Regions from separate parts of the Mus musculus genome. Here regions 1, 2, 3, 4, 6 and 7 are each reported to be linked to region 5. The links are microRNA targets in miRTarBase. Many come from high-throughput screens and were not tested one by one. Region 5 holds a microRNA gene; each other region holds the end of a gene's coding sequence.

What was found. Region 5 holds the annotated microRNA mmu-miR-9-5p (UCUUUGGUUAUCUAGCUGUAUGA, at 942-964, shown strand). A microRNA usually pairs through its seed, bases 2 to 8, with sites in the 3' UTR of a target mRNA and lowers its output. Matches are read on the target gene's strand: a 7mer-m8 pairs with bases 2 to 8, a 7mer-A1 pairs with bases 2 to 7 and ends in A, and an 8mer does both.
Region 1: the mRNA of Pdhx is a reported target of mmu-miR-9-5p. The part of its 3' UTR that is shown has no 7-base or 8-base seed match.
Region 2: the mRNA of Polr3k is a reported target of mmu-miR-9-5p. Seed matches in the 3' UTR shown: 7mer-m8 at 1,500-1,506.
Region 3: the mRNA of Rundc3b is a reported target of mmu-miR-9-5p. Seed matches in the 3' UTR shown: 7mer-A1 at 1,633-1,639.
Region 4: the mRNA of Elovl5 is a reported target of mmu-miR-9-5p. The part of its 3' UTR that is shown has no 7-base or 8-base seed match.
Region 6: miRTarBase lists Plscr3 as a target of mmu-miR-9-5p. Seed matches in the 3' UTR shown: 8mer at 949-956.
Region 7: miRTarBase lists Cdc14b as a target of mmu-miR-9-5p. The part of its 3' UTR that is shown has no 7-base or 8-base seed match.

Annotation. Positions count from the first base shown.
Region 1 is chr2:103,019,125-103,022,219 of GRCm38, forward strand. Pdhx (pyruvate dehydrogenase complex, component X) reads right to left here. Exons shown (of 11, transcript NM_175094.5): 11 at 1,931-3,095. The coding sequence ends at 2,887. Among named protein-coding and RNA genes, the nearest start is that of Pdhx, 53 kb to the right of the region's middle.
Region 2 is chr2:181,867,999-181,871,093 of GRCm38, forward strand. Polr3k (polymerase (RNA) III (DNA directed) polypeptide K) reads left to right here. Exons shown (of 3, transcript NM_025901.3): 3 at 206-2,832. The coding sequence ends at 333. Among named protein-coding and RNA genes, the nearest start is that of Polr3k, 5.2 kb to the left of the region's middle.
Region 3 is chr5:8,489,739-8,492,833 of GRCm38, forward strand. Rundc3b (RUN domain containing 3B) reads right to left here. Exons shown (of 11, transcript NM_001347311.1): 11 at 598-2,851. The coding sequence ends at 2,706. Among named protein-coding and RNA genes, the nearest start is that of Slc25a40, 68 kb to the left of the region's middle.
Region 4 is chr9:77,982,248-77,985,342 of GRCm38, reverse strand. It overlaps Elovl5 (ELOVL family member 5, elongation of long chain fatty acids (yeast)), which reads right to left. Exons shown (of 8, transcript NM_134255.3): 8 at 824-2,678. The coding sequence ends at 2,535. Among named protein-coding and RNA genes, the nearest start is that of Gm34829, 4.1 kb to the left of the region's middle.
Region 5 is chr3:88,214,672-88,217,766 of GRCm38, forward strand. It overlaps Mir9-1 (microRNA 9-1), which reads left to right and starts at 927; the gene lies at 927-1,015. The region is part of intron 2 of Gm3764 (predicted gene 3764); the gene reads left to right. Mir3093 (microRNA 3093) reads left to right here and starts at 500; the gene lies at 500-586. Gm25641 (predicted gene, 25641) reads right to left here and starts at 999; the gene lies at 942-999.
Region 6 is chr11:69,849,823-69,852,822 of GRCm38, forward strand. It overlaps Plscr3 (phospholipid scramblase 3), which reads left to right. Exons shown (of 8, transcript NM_023564.4): 7 at 190-351; 8 at 522-2,236. The coding sequence ends at 578. Tnk1 (tyrosine kinase, non-receptor, 1) reads right to left here. Exons shown (of 14, transcript NM_031880.3): 11 at 2,991-3,000; 12 at 2,153-2,463; 13 at 1,976-2,071; 14 at 741-1,893. The coding sequence ends at 1,780. Among named protein-coding and RNA genes, the nearest start is that of Plscr3, 4.7 kb to the left of the region's middle.
Region 7 is chr13:64,202,619-64,205,713 of GRCm38, forward strand. It overlaps Cdc14b (CDC14 cell division cycle 14B), which reads right to left. Exons shown (of 14, transcript NM_172587.3): 13 at 2,653-2,799. The coding sequence ends at 2,685. Among named protein-coding and RNA genes, the nearest start is that of Habp4, 42 kb to the left of the region's middle.

The DNA.
Region 1 (3,095 bases), not on the chromosome of region 5:
GTGCTTCCCATTCATAGCACTTGTTTCAAGTGTAATTTTTAATCTGCATAAGTTCATTTCTTCACTTTGCGAAGGGAGCCCGCGTCCATCATGACACAACCTTGTCATGAGAACAGAATGTCTTTGAAAGCTGAGACCGAAAGCCATGCAGTTTCTCTATTTGGATGACAATATATTAACTCATAGCACCACCTACCTTTCAAAGTAGGGAAACAAGGCTTCTTTTCCAGAACTTATGTTTTGCTTAAACAATTACTGGTAAAGGTAGGTTCAGAGTGCAAATAAGTAAAAAACAAAAGAAAAAGAAAAAGTTCCATTCGATATTATGTGAACACTCTTAACAGTATTTATAAATTACTTGGCAATGTTTCATTCAAGTCTGGTCAGCAGCACCCAGACATTTTTAATGTGACAGAAAATAGTGGACAAACTCATTTTTAGCTACTAAGTAGGAAGTGTAGTTAAAGAAACCAGCCCATTCTGACTAACAGAGGTAACTGTTCATTAATACTTCCATGACTAATGGTTAAACACTAAGATGAATGATGCTTTTCCCTCATAATTCATGCTTAGGTTGTTTTCCTTGTCTCAGTATATTTGCCTGTTATAAACAGAGTGTGGTGGTGGACAGTCTTGCTGATGCACACATGGCTCACACCATGTATCCACACTCCTTCAAATCAAGATCATTCCTTGACCTCATGCTGCAATAGGATTATTTCCATAAATGACAATTTGCTTACAGGAATCTAATTGCTAGAGATGCTAGAGGAATTATTTTTGATCAAACGGGGAAAGCTTCTACACTGCTTATTAACTATCACAGAAACCATGAGAGGGAGGCAACTAGGTTTGTGTTGCCCACGAACTGAAATAAATGGCTTCAGATAAACAGTGCCTCTGTCCAAGCTGGATGGGGACCAACCTCCTTTGTAGCTACAGGAAATGGAGGCATTATTGCTAGTGATACCGGCCCACAGAAGACAGAGCGCAAGCAAAGAGCTACTTATGGCTGTCTCATGTTCAAGTCCTCAGATGTCAAAATTAGAAAAGGGGGCTGAGGAGAGGGTTCAGTGGGTAAAAGCACTCGTCATGCAAACCTAACACCCTGAAAGACAGACACCATGACCCTACCTGTTCTTACAGGCAGATGGAGGCAGAGACAAGACAATTACCAGGAGCTAGCCTGGTGTACACAGCAGTGAGCAAGAGATCATACATCAAACAAGGTGGAAAGCAAGAATCCAAGGTTGTTTTCTGCCTTACACACCTGGGAACATGTGTCTATATCCACATCCACACAACACACACTCACACAGTATTAAAAACATTTCAGCCACACTGAACTTGAAAGTAGTGCAAGTGTAAAAGCTATTTTGAAAACGGTGCTTGGTAATAATTTTAAGTTAATCTGACAAAAGTTTGAAGAGTCCATTTTAAAATGGCTTGTTAAAACCGAATAACTGAATTAAATATTTTTCTTAACAAGAGATATACTGGGGCACTAATTATTTCTGAAGGCTCCTTTGTTAGGGCTATAGTTCATCATGTCATACTCAATACAACTTGTACCATGGAGTCTTTTTTCTGGTGATTTATGTCAACTGACACTAAGGAGAAACTTTCTGCAACTGGTGAATTAAATTACCATTCATTACCATCTCATTTAAATATCGTTATCTTGCCAGAGCTGCCAACAGAAAGAAGCAGTTCTAATGTTACTGATAATGAGGGACAATTTGGCTCAGCTGATGGAGTAGATGAGCACTACTTCCCATCTGTTCTCCTTCCTAGGTCTCCTCTCTTGTGAAACAGGATCTCACTCTGTAGCTCTGGCTAGTCTTGAACTCATGGGAACCCTGCCTTAGTCTTCCAAGTACTAAGATTATAGGCGCAAACCACCATGGTGAGCTTGTTTGCCACTCTTCTATTTTGCATGTCATATCAAAGTAGACTAGAATTTTTTTATTTTCTTACATTTGACTGTACAATACAAACTTGATTACAATGCTTCAGCAAACAATACTGTATTTAAAACAATACAAATTTACAATGTATGCTAAGAGAATTTATTTCATTAGATTCCAACTGAGCATGAAAGCTCGCTGCTCAATTTGAGATCAACTGCAGCTTTTCCAGTAAAACACTCTCCCTGCCTCTGTGAGACAGGGCCTCACCGCGTAGCCCAGCTAGCCTCAAAGCGGGCCTCCTTTCTCAATCTCTCTCAAAGGCTGAGGTTATAGGTACAAACCCAGCTGCTCCCCCAACTTTATAAGGTCAGGTCTCTGAACAAACGACTCTTTAGTTTTTCTTCCTCTGTCTTCATTCCTATTGTATCCTTAGAGCTTCACAGTGTCAAAGTTAAAAGACTGGAAATATATCTAGCTAAGACACCTGGCTTTATATACACAAAAGTTTAATAATGTTGTCACAACCCCTAATAAAATGTACTTATATACTAATCCAGAGCAAACTAACTGTACATATTAAATTGTTCAAGTATATCAAGAGCTTATAAAAAATGAGAGGCCCCAATATAGACAGACATCTCTTTGAAGCCCAGTTATAACGTCAATATGATTAAGGGACAGTTCTATATATTTTTTTAATTTTACAATATCATACATTCACAATTATTCCAAAATTTCAAATGAACCAAACATAGGATGTAGTTTACATTAGTTTAATGCCTTCTGTACAGCACCAGAGGTTAAAAGTGGATCTGACCAACCAAATGTTCTTTATTAGTCCGTTTGTCATCACACATTTCTACAGTACATGTACAGGGGAGAGGAAGACAGCTCAGGTCAAAGCTTTCGCCTTAAATAAATACGCACTTCATCTACTCCATACTGAACACCCAATCAAGCGCCTGGTCTCTGAAGGCTACCCAAGTCGCATGGGATTCTCTAGGTTTGCTTTGAAAGTTTCAAGAAACCTGGTAGCTAGTTCATCATCAACCACTCGGCTGTCACTTGACATTGTGACCGTTATAAGCTGGTGCTGCTGCAGTTGAGGGTTCCCCTCTTCATCCTCCGTCAGCTTCAGCACGGGGCGGAATCTCCCAACGGCCAAGATACAGGCCTGAGGCGGGT
Region 2 (3,095 bases), not on the chromosome of region 5:
TTCAAGGCTTTTGTTGCTTTTATAAAACAAGGTCTCTCTAGTCTCCTTATTATTGATGTGCTGTGGGAAGGATGTTGCTATTGGCAAACTCACCATTAGCTGGAGTAAGGGAGACCATAAGGGAGTCTAGCTGAGCATGGAGATGAGATGTTTACCCACACTTAATGTTTTTGTAATGTGGATAACTTGCTTTTCTGTTTGTCAGAGCCATGTCCAAAATGCGAACATCCCCGTGCCTACTTCATGCAGCTTCAGACGCGTTCTGCAGACGAGCCAATGACCACCTTCTATAAGTGCTGCAATGCTCAGTGTGGACATCGCTGGAGGGATTAAGGGCAGGACTTGCCCAGCTGCAAGCATGAATTTTGTGTGTACTGAAGGTCTTTGCTATATGATAGTAAGCTGACTTTTCTGTGGTGAAGGATCAGGGTGAAATATAACTCATCTGCAAGTTAACAGATAAAGTCCTTGATGTATAGGGGCCGTCAGGTCCTTGGGAGATACACATAAGGATGCTCACTTGGGTTCAGGTCCTGTTCCTTACCATTCAAACTAGGAACTTGGTTTATAGTCAGTAAAAATAAAAATTATTATTATTATTTAGTTTTTCAAGACAGGTTTTCTCTGTGTAGTCCTTGCTGTCCTTGTTATGTAGACAAGTCAACCTTGAACTCAGTGATCCACCTTCCTCTGCCTCCAGAGTGCTGGGGTTAAAAGTGTGTGCCATGACCACCAATGATAACCTTGAACCTTCTAATCTTTTTGCCTCTTGTTGGAAAAGTGTTAGGGTTATAGGCATGTGAACTATTTTCATTTTATGCAGTTCTGGGGATTAAACTCTAAGCCTCATGCATGCTAGATAAGCATTCTACCAACTGAGCTATATCTCTAGCCCTTTTTTTCTTTCTAGAGAAATTATGAAAAATACTTATAAAGATACTGAAAAATCACTTTAAAAGTCTGGAATTACTCGATTCATCTTGTATGATTAATAACTAAACAAAACTATTCTGTGAGTTGGACTTTCTGGATGATTTTGATAGGAATTTTAAAAAGTAACCAAAACCATTTTCTATTACCTGATTTGGAGAAAGGTCTACAGTAGAGCTTGTGCCCCATTTGAACCCCATCCAAAAATCTATTTTAACCTCAATAAATTTAGAAAAGTTACATATTAAGGCTATGTGAAGAATGAGCTTATATATGGACCAACTTCAGATGAGAGTGTCTGAGAGTATCTCAGAGAGCTCACAAGCACGAATTCCTCTAACAAACAAGAGTAACAGAAAAGTTGCATATTTGTTGAAACCACTAATGGTATTGCTCTGTAAGGTGGACATATTTGTATGTGGGAAGTCCTGGTCTGTTCTGTGTAACTGGACAGTTCTACACATGATAAGAAATGTAGCTAGTAAGGAAATCTAAAATAACAGATTCCTCCCATGAGTATCTGATGTTTTCAAAATCCTTAAATAGTGATATAGATGAATAATTCATAAACCAAAGCTGACTTTGAAATTTTTGATCTCTGGTTGCTTTCAAGCCTTTGGAACTTTGTTGCTTATCTCCTTTAAATAACTCCGTTACAAAGTAGAGCCACGAAGTCTTCTTTGAATGAGGTGTATTGAGTATTAAAGCACTTGTATATGCCAAGCTCTGGCCTCAGTTCTTGTACTGGATGGCAGAGGTGTGTGGAAGAATGAGGATGTTTACTGTTGGTGAGGGTTAGGACATTCTCACCTTGCTGGTGGGAGTAGAAGATGGTACAGTATAGGAAGGGAAGATAAAGCCCCATGCTTCTGCCTGCGTCAATCTCAGTTCGTTCAGTAAACTTTTCTCAGCAAAGCTGGTATTTTGATTATGTAGCAGGATTTTCCCTGTCCAATTAATTTAATTATTAATACAATAAGAAGCCTGTGATTGGACAGAGTTGTAGAGATAGGGAGCCACAGAGGAGAAGAGGAGGAAGAAAATGGAGGACAAACAGGACAATTCAGATTCTGCGTGGCTTTAAATAGCCACAGGTAGCTGTAGTATAGGGATAGAATAATTGGGATAACTTGTCTAATCTAGGTGGGCAGCTTGTATCATCGATTGACTCTGAAATTATTGTGTGGGTATCTTGTGAATTGAGAATTTATTGATATATAAATCTGACTAATTATAAGCTTCTAGAGTTTTGATTTTACTGTGTTACTAGGAATTGTGACAGCTAACTGGAGGTAGGTGGTCATTGCATGGGCTGGTGTGGCAACAACCCCCCAAGAGAACTTGGCGAGTCAGGTGGAGTCTGCTGAGATAAGAACACCCCTTTCGGGAACTTGCCGTTCTTTTTAATATTTCCCACAACAGGATTAGGCCTCAGAAAAGAATTTCACAATAATTGGGTCAAGTATCCTAAAAATAGCCATGTTTATGATTTGGGTGGCCTTTTAAGAGGATTGTTCAGTAATACTCCACCCCCACCCCTATTTTCAGATCACAGAGTGATTCTGTAGATAACAAGGATTCAAACAGTTCTTAATATATCACGTTACAAGGGAGTTAAGGTTTAAGTTTTGACTGTCAACAAAGAAACTATCTTTGTGAGTTATAGACTTACAGCTGGGAAAAGTTAAACTCAAAGGTCATGTGTTAAAACTTATTATTGGACTAGAGAGATGGCTCAGTGGTATAAGAGCACTGGCTGCTCTTCTAGAGTTAGGGTTAGTTCAGTTCACAGCAGCCACACAATTGCTCACAACCATCTGTAATGGGATCCGATGCCCTCTTCTGGTGTGTCTGAAGACAGCAACGGTGTACTCATACACATTAAATTAATCTTTTAAAAAATTATTAGTGCATATAAGTGTGGTAGTGGGTAGTGATGAGTACATGTCACGACACTCATGCATAGATCAGAGGACAACTTTGTGGAGTTGGTTATCTGCATTTCTTTTTGTGGGTTCTGGGTATCAAACAGGTTTGCGATACCGAGCCTTTTACCCACATATTTCATCTTCCCAACCCTACCCTGAGTTCTTTTCCTATCTTAAGGGTTAAAATTAAGGGTTAGGGTTAGAGTTAGGGGGGTTAGGGAGTTAGGGTTGGGGTTA
Region 3 (3,095 bases), not on the chromosome of region 5:
CTTTGGAAAGAATCCCCAAGTCCGTTATACATCAGTCCTGGTGCTCCTGGAGAGGTTCAAAAAAATGAATAAAGGAATATAGGAGACATCTGTTTTATACTCAGTGCCTTATATTCTTTACTACAAATTTTAATTACATCATATGGCCACATGATGGCAACATGTTAACATATTTCCAGGCCATGACTATAACCGTGTCCGGGTTTTGCCTGTAAACTACGAGTTGACTGGACTTTATCTTTCCCTCTACTCTTTGGTTCTTGAATTATAAGAAATTCAGAATATATCAGAATTTCTGTCAGTTTTATATTAGAGAGTTGTGATGTCACTAAGGGATAGGAATTTTTCAACTTCTCTCAGTTACTTGGGACCATTGTCCTATATGTAGTCAGTAACTCTCAAAATGTCATGTGCTATATAAGGAATATTTTAAAAGTATGTATAATATTCAATCTCAACAGAAGGGTTTTCTCCAATCATATCCATTAGTGTGTTGGATTTAATTAGTCCTCAATATTTATTCTATGTGCTGAAATGGAAGTTCAGTAAACACTTGAACCAGGTAACTATATTTGTCAAGGAAAAAGACCAGTACTGTATGGTTAAAAAAATCTTTAATATACATGCAACAAATATAGTACATCGAGGCAACAAAATACAGATGGAAAGATAGACATAGCCAGCATTCTTTGTGGAGTTCTGAAAAATAAACAGTACCACTGAAAATTAAAGACTGAGACACTGTTCACTCATGCAAGCGTTACAAACTGCCTGTAGCTCGAAACCAACTGCAGAAACTTGGGTTCCACAGTAGCAGATGAACTTTATATCAAGAGCTCCAATAATGGAGGGAAAGCCATGATCCTCAGGTGTCATGTCTCAGTCCGCAGTTCGCAGCAGGGATATGTCACAAACTAGTGCTTCTATCGGACAGATCTGAAAAAGTGTACCAACTGGGGAATCTTGTATTCCCTTCTACTTTATAAAAATGTATGAAAAGATCTTACCAAGGTTTTATATCTGAAAAATCATAAATGACAGGTGAGAGCAGGCCGTGGTGATAAAGCAGTAAACACTTTGACTTTCTTAGGAAAGTAGAGGTGCGCCCACGGCCAGCCTAAATTCCCAATGTTCTCATGACCATCTAAGTCCTCATGCAGCCTGCTGCAGGCCTGCTGTCTTTATTTGCTATTCCTGACACTACTTAAACGTGGCTTTGGCCACTGTACACTTAATATGGTGCACACAGATCAGAGAAGATGGAGGTGCTCTGTTTTAATGCATCAGCCTCAGGAAGAAATTGCTCAGTTTGTTCTGAGTCACCCGATGCAATGTCTGTCATGAGCTTGCAGGCCTCCTTTGCCCCAGAGATTAGTGTCTGCACTGCCTCACATGTGACACTGGTCATGTTACTATTGATTGATTCCACACCATGAGACTGCGCTCCAAGCACTTCCCAGAACCTCCCACCCCTACACTTTGGATAGAAGGAGTGAACCTGTGAGTTCAGCACTCCCCAGGAAGCTTTAGGAGGGATGCACTTCCTACTTGTCACAGCTGCTAAGTTTAAATATAAAAATCAACAGACAAGAGTGAGCACTGTGGCCCCTTCATGAAACAGTATAGGAAATGTCTTTGGCACACTTGTTTTCCTCCTAGGACTCACTATAGAATACACACTTCATACGTGTTTATTTTCAATAGGGTGGAATTTTTAGGGACACATGTAGCTGTTTTAAAAATTGTAAAAAAAAAAATTGAAACACAGCTCTTTTTAAAAAACCTGTTTTCCTACAGAAGTATAGTTTTGTTTTTTTTTAAACACTAAGATCAATTTGAAAAATGAGAAATCATGGCATAGTGGTAATGGCTATGAAACACCCAGTATGTAAGTCATTGTTGCACACAGGGAAAATAGCATTGTAGCTCCAATGTATATCCACAGTCAGACATCCTGGTTACTCTGCAGCTCTTTAAAAATCATTATCAAGTCATTCATTAAACTGGAAACTTCTGAGGTTAGTAACCCCTTGCCAACATTAGTTCTGAAGTTTGAAATGTTTCCAATGTCTTAGGCATACCTGGGAAAAGATGCTTTTCCTCCATACCTGACAAATTAAGTCAGCAACCGCCTAAAAAGGCACAATTCTACAAACTTTATGAAATGCTAAAAGTTGGTACCAACTGGTAAAAGGAAAGCTTAACGAGCCACTGTGTAGTTGTGGCTGGAGACTTCCCCTTACAGCATGGTACACAGACATCAGAGTGCAGGAAGTACTTCATGGAATTAGTTGCCTTTTGTGCAAATTTAACCACCAAATAAAGGAGCGAAAGAAACTGCTAAGCTTAAGTCTCTGGAGTAAAACCTGGACCTGGTCTCTGGACACCAAGACGCATTTAAACAAATATAAAAATTCAGCTGAATAACAACTATGTACAATTTATAATGAATTCAGACACTCTTTGAAAGATTTTTAAAGCCTAATCAACTTTAAACATCCTCAGTGACAAATGTAATATTTTAAAAAGAAAAATAGGGGACTACTATGCTTTTCCCTCAGAAATTTACATGGGCTGGACTAAAATCTCCAAACAACAAAATGTTACGCATGTACCAGAATATAAAATTTCAAAATCTCCCAGCAGCCAAACTTATGTAAACAGGATATTTACAATGCAGAAACTTTGGGTTTTTACGTAGTCTTTCAGGATGGAGTCAGGCCTGGGCTGGTTAGCTCCGTGGTGGGGCTTGCAAGGCAGTCGTTGGATTTTAGGCTTGTTAGGGACTTGTAACTTGCCACTGATGTCAGGGACCCACAGAGGCCAAGAAGTGAGGGGGTATCTTCTTTACCTGGACATTAAGACACAAGCACACAAGAGTAACAGTTTCATGAATCACTGCAAGACCAAAACCCAGGAGAAACTCCCAGAGCTTCTGGAGTAGTGACAATGTATCGATGCCGCTAAACCTATTTTACCCGGCAGCAGCTTCTAATACCTCCTCTAAGAATATTAGTGTTTTTATGTTTCTCGTAAAACATCTTGGTATGGTAGTTTGAGATAACGCATTTTGGAGTAAAAATGTAGTTTACCTT
Region 4 (3,095 bases), not on the chromosome of region 5:
TCTTGCTCTTCACAGAAAAATGTGCAGACCTACTGCCTACAACGAGAAGTTACTCTAACAGTCTGCAGATGAGGGAAGAGCATGGGATGCCAGGAAGGAAAGGAGGATGCAGGAGCGTGCTCAGAGGTGAACCCTCTAGCAGGGGTGCAGGGGAGGAGCTAGGGTTGTTGGAAGACACTGAGATTTATGCTCTGGGGTCCTCTGCCATGGGAGGTGATAGCAATTCTTGGTTGCCAGCTTGACCACATGCAGAACTGACTACAACTCAAACTGACTACGCCAGTGCTGGATTTTGTTCCTTAATCATCTGAAGTGGGAAGACCCACTTGAGATCTGGATCTCTGAGGTAGAAACCCACCTTTAATCCAGGCCCTACCTGCTGCTGGCAGCCTCTCTCTAAACAGGACAGAGAAGAAGGAAGCCCTCTTCTCTTTGCCTGCTTGTTCTCACTCTTGCTAGTGAGTCCACTCAAGCAAATCCTTCGCTGGCATTCGACGCGACTGCTCTGGAACCCGTGTTTCCTGAAGAGCAGCTGAGACATTTAGCCTCGTGGACTAAACAGCTACTGGATCCTTGGATCCTCTGTCTGTAGATAGCCTTGTTGGACTAGCTGGACCACAACCTGTAAGCCATTCTAATAAATCCTCCCCCCACCCCCACACTCATTCTATGAGTTCTGTTTCTCTAGAGAGCCCCCAACTGATACAACCACTTTCCACGCTACATTACTCATGTCCACTCCCTAAGCTCCTACAAGGTGACAGAGTTGACCATCCTGCAGTCTTTCAGAACTGTCAGCACATCAAACAACAGAAGACACAGCACGGGTAATCAAAAAGGTTTTAATGATTAATGTTTAGACATTATTTAACAGTGTGGGTATATCCAGATGAGCTAAGCACACTTTGACAGCACACTATCAAATGTTATAATTTTTGTATTGAGATATGTAAAGACACCTGCAGACGGGTACCTAGGGAGAAGACACACACATACACACATTCTAGATCTGACAAGGGAAATGTAAACAGATGCCGCAACTCCTTCCAAACAGAAAACCCACAAGGCTAATTAGGACCAACTGGCTCCTTGTAATATGAATGTGCAAAATTAAAGCATGGTAAACTGGTATTTACATAAATATCAAACCCACAATTAGTTTATACATTGTCAATCATCTCCTAAGATGTGCCATGAGTGGTTCCATGGATTTTTTACCAATGCAGAAGGTATTCAAAGGCTAAGCTTTCAACACTTTAAAAATGACACACATGAAAAGAGTCCCCATTTGTATGACCGATGCCTCGAGCGCACTAGACACGATTTTAGGATAAGCAGTCCAAGCACTTTAAACCGATCTTTAGGTGCTAATCAGAAAAAAATTACAGATGCCACCATGATTCACACTGAAAAAAGCGGTTGCTCCCAAACACCCAGTTCCTGCGCGCTCCAGCTCTTAAATTTTACCTCAAAATGCTTATGGTGCTTCCTGGTCTCTTGGTAAATTAGGCACATTTTAAAAGGAAGTGTATGTCAAAGTAGCACTACAGAAAAGAATAAAAAAAAATGTGGACCCAGGTAACCAGTCCCTTATCACTGTGTGTGTGTGTGTGTGTGTCTGTCAGATAATAAATGTCTCGTCACCTTTCCTGAAAGGTAGTTCTCTCTCTCCAAGTGGTGGGAAGTCGAATGGCCTTTTTATCTCCTGTATAAAAACACTAAGCACTTCAGAAGTGAAAAGTGACCTACTCTTATAGTCACCCTAGCCTCTGGGGGACCAGGGACAGGTACGTAAGTGTCTCCAGACGCTTTGGACCCTTTCCCCACCTCTTTAAACACATTAATAGTGGCACTCAAAATAAAAAAATAAGATCTGTTAAAAAGTTAAACTGACTGTTCCACTAGACTTGAACCTGCTTATTTAAAGCCATCGTTATAAAACCAAGGGTGCCATCAGATTTCGCATCTCCAAGTCACTTGAAGTTACACATCACACACTTGTTTCATAAATCATACATTTGATTTTTCTAAACAGAGCTAATACAAATGAATAATACAAAGTTGAAACATACCCTAATTAAACTAACAAGCTCTGGGCCCTGCTTTTTTAAGTCTTAAGGCATGTGTGTTTTTCTACTGTTAACAACATTGTACAAATTTACAATCACATGCATGGTCTACAGTTAAAAAAAAAAAGTTTGGATTACAGTGTTTTAAATTGTGAACCACAATTCAGCACCTATCGTGTTACAACTAATAAGGCAACAGCAGTGTTGTATACTACAAGAACATTCCCTTTCCACAGTCTAGCGCGGGGGTCGATGAGAGCCCAGAAATGTGAGAAAATCGTATGCCTACTTTGTATAATCTGTATACATATTCTAGGGGTTTTGAACTGATGAAGAAGGTCCTACATGAGTCACACTGCAGATAGTAGGGCCAGACTAGTGACAGCAGCTGCTATGAGCGTCAGGGCACAAGTCACGCTGTGCTTACAATCACACGCCGCGGTCTGGAGGCTTCGGCTCGGCTTGTCAATCCTTTCGCTGCTTCCTGGGCTTCACGCTGTTTTCCAGGGAAGGGAAGCTGTTGGTGTGTCCGTTGACGGCGGCCACAGACCCGTTCTGGTGGCCCTTCAGGTGGTCTTTCCTCCGAGAGGCCCCTTTCTTGTTGTAAGTCTGAAATGTACAAGGCGAATCAGTGCCTGCTAACCAGATGAACTGTACCGGTCTGTATCTCACTAGGCCTGGTTTCCTGGTCTGATCAGTCTCACCACGTATTTCCTGTGCTCAAATAACCACTTTATGTTCAATCACCCTTGCGACTTTTTGAGGCTTAGCTCAGAGGTTCTGACCCCCTAGACCACAACAGAAACACTTAGAACACCGAGTTTCTGTTCATTCGGCTTTGCCTCTTCAGGATGTGGATGGTGGAGCAATGGCCTAGGGGACCAAACTGGCTTCTCCTCCTGGCTAGTAGCCACTCTACATCACAAGCCATTACTTATCTTTATGTTTTTCTTATTGCCTCAGTAACCATCATGTACAGTACAATGGGCACCAGGAGCAATTGGAAGAAGGTCCTATTATCAGGCC
Region 5 (3,095 bases):
GTGGCCTGACCCGCGTGGGGCACGAGGTGGGGAAAGCGCCTCAGAGTCCAGCGCGCGCGTCCGCCACCTGCGACCACGGAGCTCTACACCCTCTGCACGGTCCCTGGACCTCCTTCCAGTGGGTTCAGTCCAGATAGCCCCCTCCAGCCACTAAGGGCATCTCTCACTCAGACCCCCAGTGGCATATTTCACATCTCTGAATGATTTCGGCTGCGTTTTGCACAAAACCGGCTCCCGCGCGGTTCCGTAGGTCCAGGGCTCGGAGCACCTGCCTGGTCACCCTTTGCCCTAACCCGCAGCCCCACGTCCTGACTGCTCGCCCGATTCTCTCTGGGTGGGGTCTTTGCCCTTGGGAGAGTCGCTGGGGAGTCTCTAGATCACCCTCCACCCCGCCGCCAGCCACAGGCTTCCCTCTGGGCCTCGGGGTTCCCCAGTGCTGGGGTTCCCGTCCGGGGCTTCGCGGCCGCTCCCCTGCAGTCGGTAGCTCGGAGCAGCTCTGCGAGCTCGGCTCTGCCGCACCCCGCGGAGCTCACACTCGACCTTCCAGAGAAGGGTGTGGACACCGTGGGAGGTTGGGGAGGCCTCGGCCTAGGCTTCTGCGGTCTTCCCGGATGGCACGAAGGCCCTGGAGCCTTTCCACTAGCACCGGCGGAACCCTGCTTCTGCACGGAGGAGGGAGTGGGAAATGGGCGGTCAGGCTTGGGGCCGCTTGGTTTCAGCCTAGATTCCCGACCTCAGAACCGTCGGCGGTAGCATCTTTTCCTCGCCTTTCTGAGGTCTCGTCGTGATAGTGCGTGAGGTCCTGGATCCCATCTTTTCGCCTCCACACCACGCGCGTCCCCCATCCGCCGTCGAGCGACTCGAGACTACGGAGGTCCAGGCGGTGGCCGGGAGGCTGCGTGGAAGAGGAGGAGGCGGCCAGGAGGCGGGGTTGGTTGTTATCTTTGGTTATCTAGCTGTATGAGTGGTGTGGAGTCTTCATAAAGCTAGATAACCGAAAGTAAAAATAACCCCATACACTGCGCAGAGGGCCTGGAACGCTGGTAGTGGCCGAGCTGCAGGAGGGAGAGCCGTGCCAGGCGTGCCTGGAGGCTGGAGGGCTGGGGGGAGGGGGACTCGTCGCCTTCAAAGGTTGCTCAGCCCGAGCCACCTCGCGATCCCCACCCGCAACCTGCTCACCTGGGAAGAAAGCAAGAAGCCGCTCTGGGGTCGCCTCTGGAGGCCTGGTCAAAATGGAGCAGTCTGGGCCTCAGTCCGGAGAAGCCGCTCCCGGGAGAGACAGAGCCCTTGGCTGAAGGGTTGGGGGGAAAGTGCAAGCATCCCTCTCCCGGTCTCGACGCATCCCGGGAGCGGGTGGCTGGTGTGAGCAGCTTCCCTCTGGCTCTTCGAAGCGACTGGTGGAGTTCGAGGTTCGTAGGATGTCTCTAGAAAGCTGGTTTTTGCTTTGGTGGTTTCCCTGAAGCCCTTCAGCTTTACTGGGAGTCAAGATTGCCCAGGTGGGAACAGGTCTAGGAGCGGGGAAGGCTTAAAAACCAACACACACATCGAACTTATTAGGGAGAATGGCGATGCAGAAACAAAGTAACCACAAGGGCAAGGGCCAGAGTGGCCAGAGACCTTTTTACCCCACAGGAATTCTGGGACCCTGGGGCGCAGGTTCTTTGCTTTCACTTTGGCCTTCAGGACCAGAGCTAAGTCTAACTGAACTCTCTCTGGCTGCTTTGTCATTAGTGGCTAAAGGTGTAGAGTTGGGGTGGGGGGCTTTAGAGCATCCCACCTTTCGGTCCTAACCTCACTCTTGGAAATCGTGTCCCAAAGGAACAAATGGCCTCAAGGAGCTCTGTGGAGCTCAAACACAAAGGAATGTGTAGCTGTGCTGCCCAGAGAACGCAAAGAATTAGAGAGATTAATTTGGGCTCCTGTAAAAAGAATCTATTTATCTTGCCTGACCTAAATATTTTAGTGAAAGAGGGTTTCTACAGCTGAGAAGATGGTCTAACAAACATGGCCAGAGCTAGGAATCCCCTCTGCTCTCATGGCCCTCAGCCGAACTTGACCAGCTGGCACTTGGAGACCTGGGCTGTACCGACTAATAAGAGGCAGAAAACTGGGCAAAATGTCATCACCCAGACTCCGCTGGTTCTTATAAATTTAAAATTTCCTCCCGGGACCTGATTTTACAGTTAGAAGATAATGATTCAATTTTGTATTACATGGGGGGAAATATTAGAGAATCCAAATTCAAATTCTGGGACTTCAGGGAATCTATTGCCTGTGTGTGTCTTCTTTAGCAGTTAGGGGAGGGAGAGTCGAGTGGCCTCTTAAATTCCAGAAGCTTGGAATTTGTTTTGTTTTGGTAGGGGTGGTGGGGATGAAGCTTAAGTCAAGGAGAAAAGAGGCTGGGTCTAGGCTGGAACTAATGGTCTGGCCACAGCCTGTTTTCTTTTTCCGCTGCTTGAGAGATGCCATGTGATCCCATGTTACACAGGCACAAGTGAGCAGCTGACATTACTCACTGGCTTGACACTCAAAGCTCCTTCCATTTACTCTGTCTTGGAGAAAGTGACACTCCCCACCCCAAGGGAGCCAACTGGGAAAGTAGAAAGAAGGGAAGCCTCTCTGTTATTGGGAATTTGCATGGGCAGAGGAGGGGCATCAATAAAATAAGCTTCCTTATCATTACCATCTTTAATGTTTCCTGTATAGTGTCTTCACTGTAAATTCCAGGACAGCCAGGGCTACACAGCCCTCTATCATAGCACAGGCCTATAATCTGAGCAGTTGCAAAGTAGAGGACGAAGGATCAAGAATTCAAAGTCATCCTTGTCTACACAGCAAGTTCTTGGGCATCCTAGAGTCCCCCTAAACACACACACACACACACACACACACACACACACACACACACACACACACCACATATTCCCAGGAACACTTAGAGTCTCAGTTGCTAACCACAGTAGTTTTATATTATTGTTTCCCATGAGCACATTGGATCACAGGCTCTTCAAAAGAGAGTAGAAGGCTTTAGGAAAAGGAGGAATAGAGGCTAGGAGGTTAGGCTGCTAAGGGTTCATGTCTTCTTTAGATGCACA
Region 6 (3,000 bases), not on the chromosome of region 5:
ATCCTCACTGTGTGCTTATGTAACCTAGGGTATCTCAGTTTCCCTTCTGCTGTCATATAGAAACCCAACGCTATTGCGAAGAGTTCCTGAGCAGTCTACACAACTCATGCATGTACCTATAGAGTGAGACAGGAGGCAAGTGAGACTGTCAGCATCTTCCCCAGTCGGGTCCTTCTTCCCTCCCGCCAGGTGAAGACTAAGGATGAATCGCGAAGTGTGGGCCGCATCAGCAAGCAGTGGGGAGGGCTGCTCCGAGAAGCCCTCACAGATGCCGATGACTTTGGCCTCCAATTCCCAGTCGATCTAGATGTGAAAGTGAAGGCCGTACTGCTGGGAGCCACGTTCCTCATCGTGAGTTAGCTTCCCCTGCCCTTCCCTTCCTGTTATTAGACGCTCTGTTCAGTTCCCTGGACCCTTACTAGGTCAGGGACACGTATGGTGGGTTGCAGGTTCAGAGCTAAGTTAAGAGCTGATCGACACAGACCCAGCCAGATCTCCCATTGACGGTGACCTTTCCTTAGGATTATATGTTCTTCGAGAAGAGAGGAGGCGCAGGACCCTCTGCCATCACCAGTTAGAAGCCACCTCAGGATGAGGAGACCCATCTCCTTGACCAGAATTTAAGATGGTCAGCTGCCCTGGACGTTCCCTCCTGAAGCAACCCTTTCCTTGATATACACTGCGGCGGACCGACGAGGGTGGCCGAGTGGTTGGGAGCCGTTGTGTCCCATCCCTTCCCTGCTTCTCCTGTGGCCCTGCAGAAGAGCATGTATGAGACCTGTTCCTCCTTCTGTTCACCATCTCCAGGCAGTGCCTGTGCACACATTAGCTTTTAAACTTCCTTGCACACTCCTTCCAGCCTTCCTCTGGGGCCTCTGCATAGGCAGGGGCATCTGGAATCCTGGACTCAAGTTTTACCCCAGGGCTTGTGGGTAAAAGGCAAGCAGTACCAAAGATGGCAGACACCACCCTTCCCTTATGGCACTTTAGCCAATTAGTTTAGCTTCCGATTGTGGCACTCTGAGGGGATCCTTGCCTCCTCACTAATAGCTGTAGCGGTTGGGCCCCAGTGCCAACTCCCTAAGCCCCTGGGCCCTGCGGGTGCTTTCTGCAGCTTCCTGTGCCTTATTTAACCGTTAACCCCTTCCTTCCCCTACTGTAGGAAGGAGGCTGTGTCTTTGTATGTTGTACTCATATAAACTTTGAAACTTTTTAAACAGTAGAAGCCGGATGTGATGGGAGAGGGTAGATACCGGATAACACAAAGGGAGCGGCGTCAGCCAGCCTGTATAATCTACACTATTTGGATTAAAGGAAAAAAGTCCTTGAGTCCAAAAAGTTAGTTTTCATCACCCATAGTGATTCTGGACCAAACCAGAGCAGCTCCCAAGTCAATATCTAAGTTGGGTGCCCCATAGAGTTTAGGGAAGTAGCTAATGACAGTTCCGACGGTTGGTCAGTGATCCGGTATTGCTACTTGATCCTTGTCTGTAGTGAGTAGAGGCCTCCTCCAAAGCTTTTTCTTTCAAGTCCTGTTCAATTGGGAATATAGTAGGCAGAGTGGACTTGGTCTTGGTCCCTTCAGAGGCCAAGGAGCAGGGCTCGGAGGAAGCATTAGCCAGTACCTGAGTGCCCTATACACTTCCTGTCACTCCTCACAGCAGGTAAATCTCCCTCAGCGTGCCTCCGTCAAGACCTCATGTTCTGATTAGTCCGTAAGGCCAAGCCCTAAGTGGACCAGGTAACCCATGCTGGTGTCCATCCCTGAGGATACAGAGTTCAGGACCGGGCTAGGATGTAGCGACTGGCTGCTGACAGGTCCCACTGGTGATGCTCCAGGATGCGACGACAGTCTGCTCGGGACCGGTTACTAAGGTGGAAGAGCTGGTCTACCTGTGTGAGCAGGAGGTAGGACAGCTGACCACTAGTGGGCCAAACAGGCGACTGGGGAACCTGCAGAAGGGGTTAGCGTTACCTTGAGGTTCCGGATAGCAGAAGCCACATCTCCCCCAGTGGTTCTGAGTGCCACTTGGCACTCCTGGTAGGTGACACCATGCACACTCAGCTCTACCTGCGGAGGACAAATCTTTGTTTAGCCCTTGTGTCAACCTACAGGCCCTTTGAACATAAAGTCATTTCAGTGAGCCCTCACCTCTACAACCTTCCTCTGCCACTCGGGGTCTGACAAGGGACCTCCAGAGGGGACAGTGGCTTTGCTGGCTCCAGGTGCTCCAGTGCGGTGATTATGTGAGGATTCTCTTTTGGGCCGGGCTTTGTGGGGCTGGGTGGGCTGAGAAGAGTTGCAGATAATAGGTGGGCGTGGAGGCAGGTCTGGTGGGCGTGGAGGTAGGTCTGGGAGTCTTTGCGGCATAGCTCTTGTACGCCGAAGTTCTGGAGGACTTGAACCACCTCCTGTGGGTCTAGGGCCCAGGGACAGAACTGATTCCAGACTCTTGGAAATGCCTTCAGAGTTGAGAAAGAAATGCTATAGGAGGAGGCCCACCTCCCTGCTCTCTTGACTATCTGCACTGAGCTGTGTGATTTTGCAAGGATATTTAGGTAAGCTGGTTGGCCTTGTCCTCAGCTGTCTGTGTGTTAGATGGTATGCAAACAGAATCAAGACAGCTAGAGGCTCAAAGAGCAGTGTGAGAGCCAAAGCCAGGAGCTGCTGCCCAGTGGAGAATCAGGAGCACCTCTAATCTTAAATCTCAAAGTGCGCCAGGAGGAGATAGCGCACGCCTTTAATCCCATCACTTGGGCAGGCAGAGACAGGCAGATCTCTGAGTTCAAGTCCACCCTGGACTACAAGAATGAGTTTAGGACAGCCAGGGCTACACAGAAAAACTATGTCTCAAAAAGCCAAAACAAATAATCTGTCCAAAGATTACCATCTTTGGAGGAAGGAAATCATATACACAAAGGTACGGATTCAGAGTTGGGAAGGGGAATTGGAAAGTTGTTCCTGAGACCCTGGGTACCACCACACCCACCTCGCATCCT
Region 7 (3,095 bases), not on the chromosome of region 5:
GTTAACAATAAGAGGACTGGCTGGCTCAGCCATAGCCTTATACATCATACCTCATGTTGGGAACCTCCAAGACCCTCTCCTTAAAAAATTCTGTTAGTTGTTGATCAGGGTTACCCTGTACTGGGCTATACAGAGTATTAATGCTACTTCTCTTATCCAACTGTTACAATTTCTGTTAATACAATCACAGGGGAAATATTTATCTCATAAGGACATGAATCTAGAATGTTGCTTTAAGGCAACCAAATCCACCTGCTGATTTCTCCAGGCTTCTGGCAGTGTGTGTACTTCATTTCCCTCTGCTGCTTCTTTACAAGGGAGAAAAATGAGTGGCTTCTTCTGTAACGCCCACCACTCCCCCATCTCAGACCATCTGAGGGCAAACGCTTGGTAACTTTTAAAACACACACACACACACACACACACACACACACACTCTAATGCCTGCTCAGGAAACCTACTCCTGATCTCTTAAATTACTGAAATGCTTAAATGCTACACAAAACAAAGATCTACTACTGCTTGATTTATTTTTCTAAGAAACAGTTGTAAACAAATGTGAAATAATGATATTAGTGGTTACTAATTTCTGTGGAGCTTTAAAACTCAGAAGGAAATTTAGTACGTATTAACCACACCGGGGAGGCCTTAGGTTATCTGGCCTGAGCAAACACTTAATCCATTAAATAAAGTGAGAAAGCCCCAGAGCTGCTCAGACAGAACGAGAGGGCCACCTGCCCTGCTCACATGGTTCTTCCTATCAATACACAAAATATACATTTTTCTTTTCTCTCTCTCTTCCCCAACCAAGTTTGCCTTCATCCTCCTGACCCTGTGCCCAAACCATAGACTGCTGCCCTGTCTGTGGTATTTCTAAAGCCGCAGCAGCTGCAGATTTTAGACACTGACAATGACGAGATGCACAGCAAAGTTAGAAAAACAGTCTTACGGACCAGGAGTGACCTGCCAAGCCTCAAAATGCATAGATGGCTTTCTAGAGGATCACTGCCACAGAGCTTTCTGTAGGATGCCCCACAAGCCCCTGAACCATTCTCTAATAGCACTGTCCCCCACTGTGTGCAGTAGATAGAGAACATAAAATGCTTTCTGGTCTTAGGCTCGAGGCCACCAGCTGATGGAACTCACTACAAGGCAAAGCTCACCTACCAGCTCACAGCAGGGCCAGTCACCACAGAGCAGTGAACTGTTACCCACAAATTAAGCCTCTTGGGAAGAGTCTCACACCAAGAGCGAGTGGCTATGAAGACCACACTGTTACCTACCTCAGTCACAGAAAGCTTTTAATTCAAGTCAGTAGGCAGGCTAAACGGAACACCCTGTTTTGGTCTGGAAACGTAGTGGTGACATAAGCTACAGGACTAATCTAACGCTCTTGCAGAGGACTCTGAGGAGCTCGCCAGTAGAAGTAACATTTAAAGCAACATTTAAGCTGGGCCTGAAGACAAATATTATTAGCAGCAACTCCACCTACCCATTCAGAACATCTTGGCCACTTAGAATAGTTTGGGAAGAACTAACTATAAAAGGTATCATTGTTCTTCAATAGATAGAGGGGGCAAAAAAAAAAAGTGAAATGTGAGATTATAAACTCATCTAAGATATACAAGGAAACACCACTGTAAATAAGTATTTATTCAGCAAGTTTTCTTTAGTGGACTCTTGATTCCTTTTTAAATCTTTCTTAGCTACATGAAACTCTCAACAGAACCTCAAAGGGCAAGGGTTGGCTGTGACAGATTTTCACTTGGAGGAGATCCTAGAAGGGAATTCTGAATGCTTTGGCAATCTCTAAGTCCAAGCTGGTACAAGAAAAGTAAATTTTTGGAATGAAATGATGAAGAAGGGTCTCAGAAAACAGATAGAGGATGGTGGTGGTGTGGCACATGTCTCCCTCTGTGTTCCTGGGCTGTGATGTTACACACAGAGGTTTTCTGCTGCTTTCTGCTGACAAGTGTCTCCCTTGAGAGAATGACATGTCAGGAGATTACACTTGTGTACAGAATCTAACAAAGATGGTCTGCCTATTTTGGGGAAGAGAAGGAAGAGTCCAGAGACTATAGAAACACAAGCAAGGGAGACAGCCAGCTACCCCTCTCCTTTTCTCACTTAACACAAAGAAGATGTGATGAAAGAATGGACAGTTCTATAGACTCAAGACAGGTGACCTGAAGAGATTGGGCCACCATCCTCACTAGCCTCTAAGGCAACAAAGCCCAATCTTTGCTAAAAGCAGAAATGGTGAGAGACACACTTGACTGAAGACACATTCCAGGCATTGAACACGAGAGGTGAATACAGCCCCCTGGTGGACACGAAACCAGGCTGGTTGGCTCAACTACCTGGTTTTTTGACAGGTGAGAAAACTATTCCAATGTCCACATTTATGAATAGCTAGTACAACTTTTCAAAACTAGGTGTTATTTTTAACATCCTTGACTCAGAAGGCTCCTTGAGGCCCTCCCCTGCTGGTACCATCCCATTCATTGAAGAGATTCGGAAAGAGAGCCCTGGAAAACAAGCAAAACAACAAAGCTAGGAGAGCCAGAAGGAGAAACACATACACCATAGGAACCACACAGGACACAGGGGGGTGGGGGGGAGGGTAGGAGAGAAACGGAACAGGAAACTTACACAGCAAACTATCTGTCAAAGGGTCCAGATGGCTACTGTGTTCTGAAGCCATCAAGACAGAACAGCAGGGTGGGAAGAATGTAGTCACACACAATCCACCAGATGGCAACACTACACAGTGCAGAGGTCAGCACAGCTAGGGGACATCTGGAGAGGGTGGAAGGGAAAGAACAGATGTTCACATTGGGAAGCCAAAATAAATCATATAATAAAATACATAGAGCCACCTGTGGATTTAAGACACCCTAAAAGGCCCAGAGCAGCGACTGTGATGGCAAAGGGGCAGGAAACAAGGGTGGTGGTGGTCCAGCTTCTGTTGAGACAAAAACGCTGACTTTAGTTTAAACAGGTTCAACACACAGGAACAAATGGTTAGACTCCATCTCCCATCATACTGACTGACAGTACTCCAGCTGGCCATCCTTAGATATGCAAAACACTAC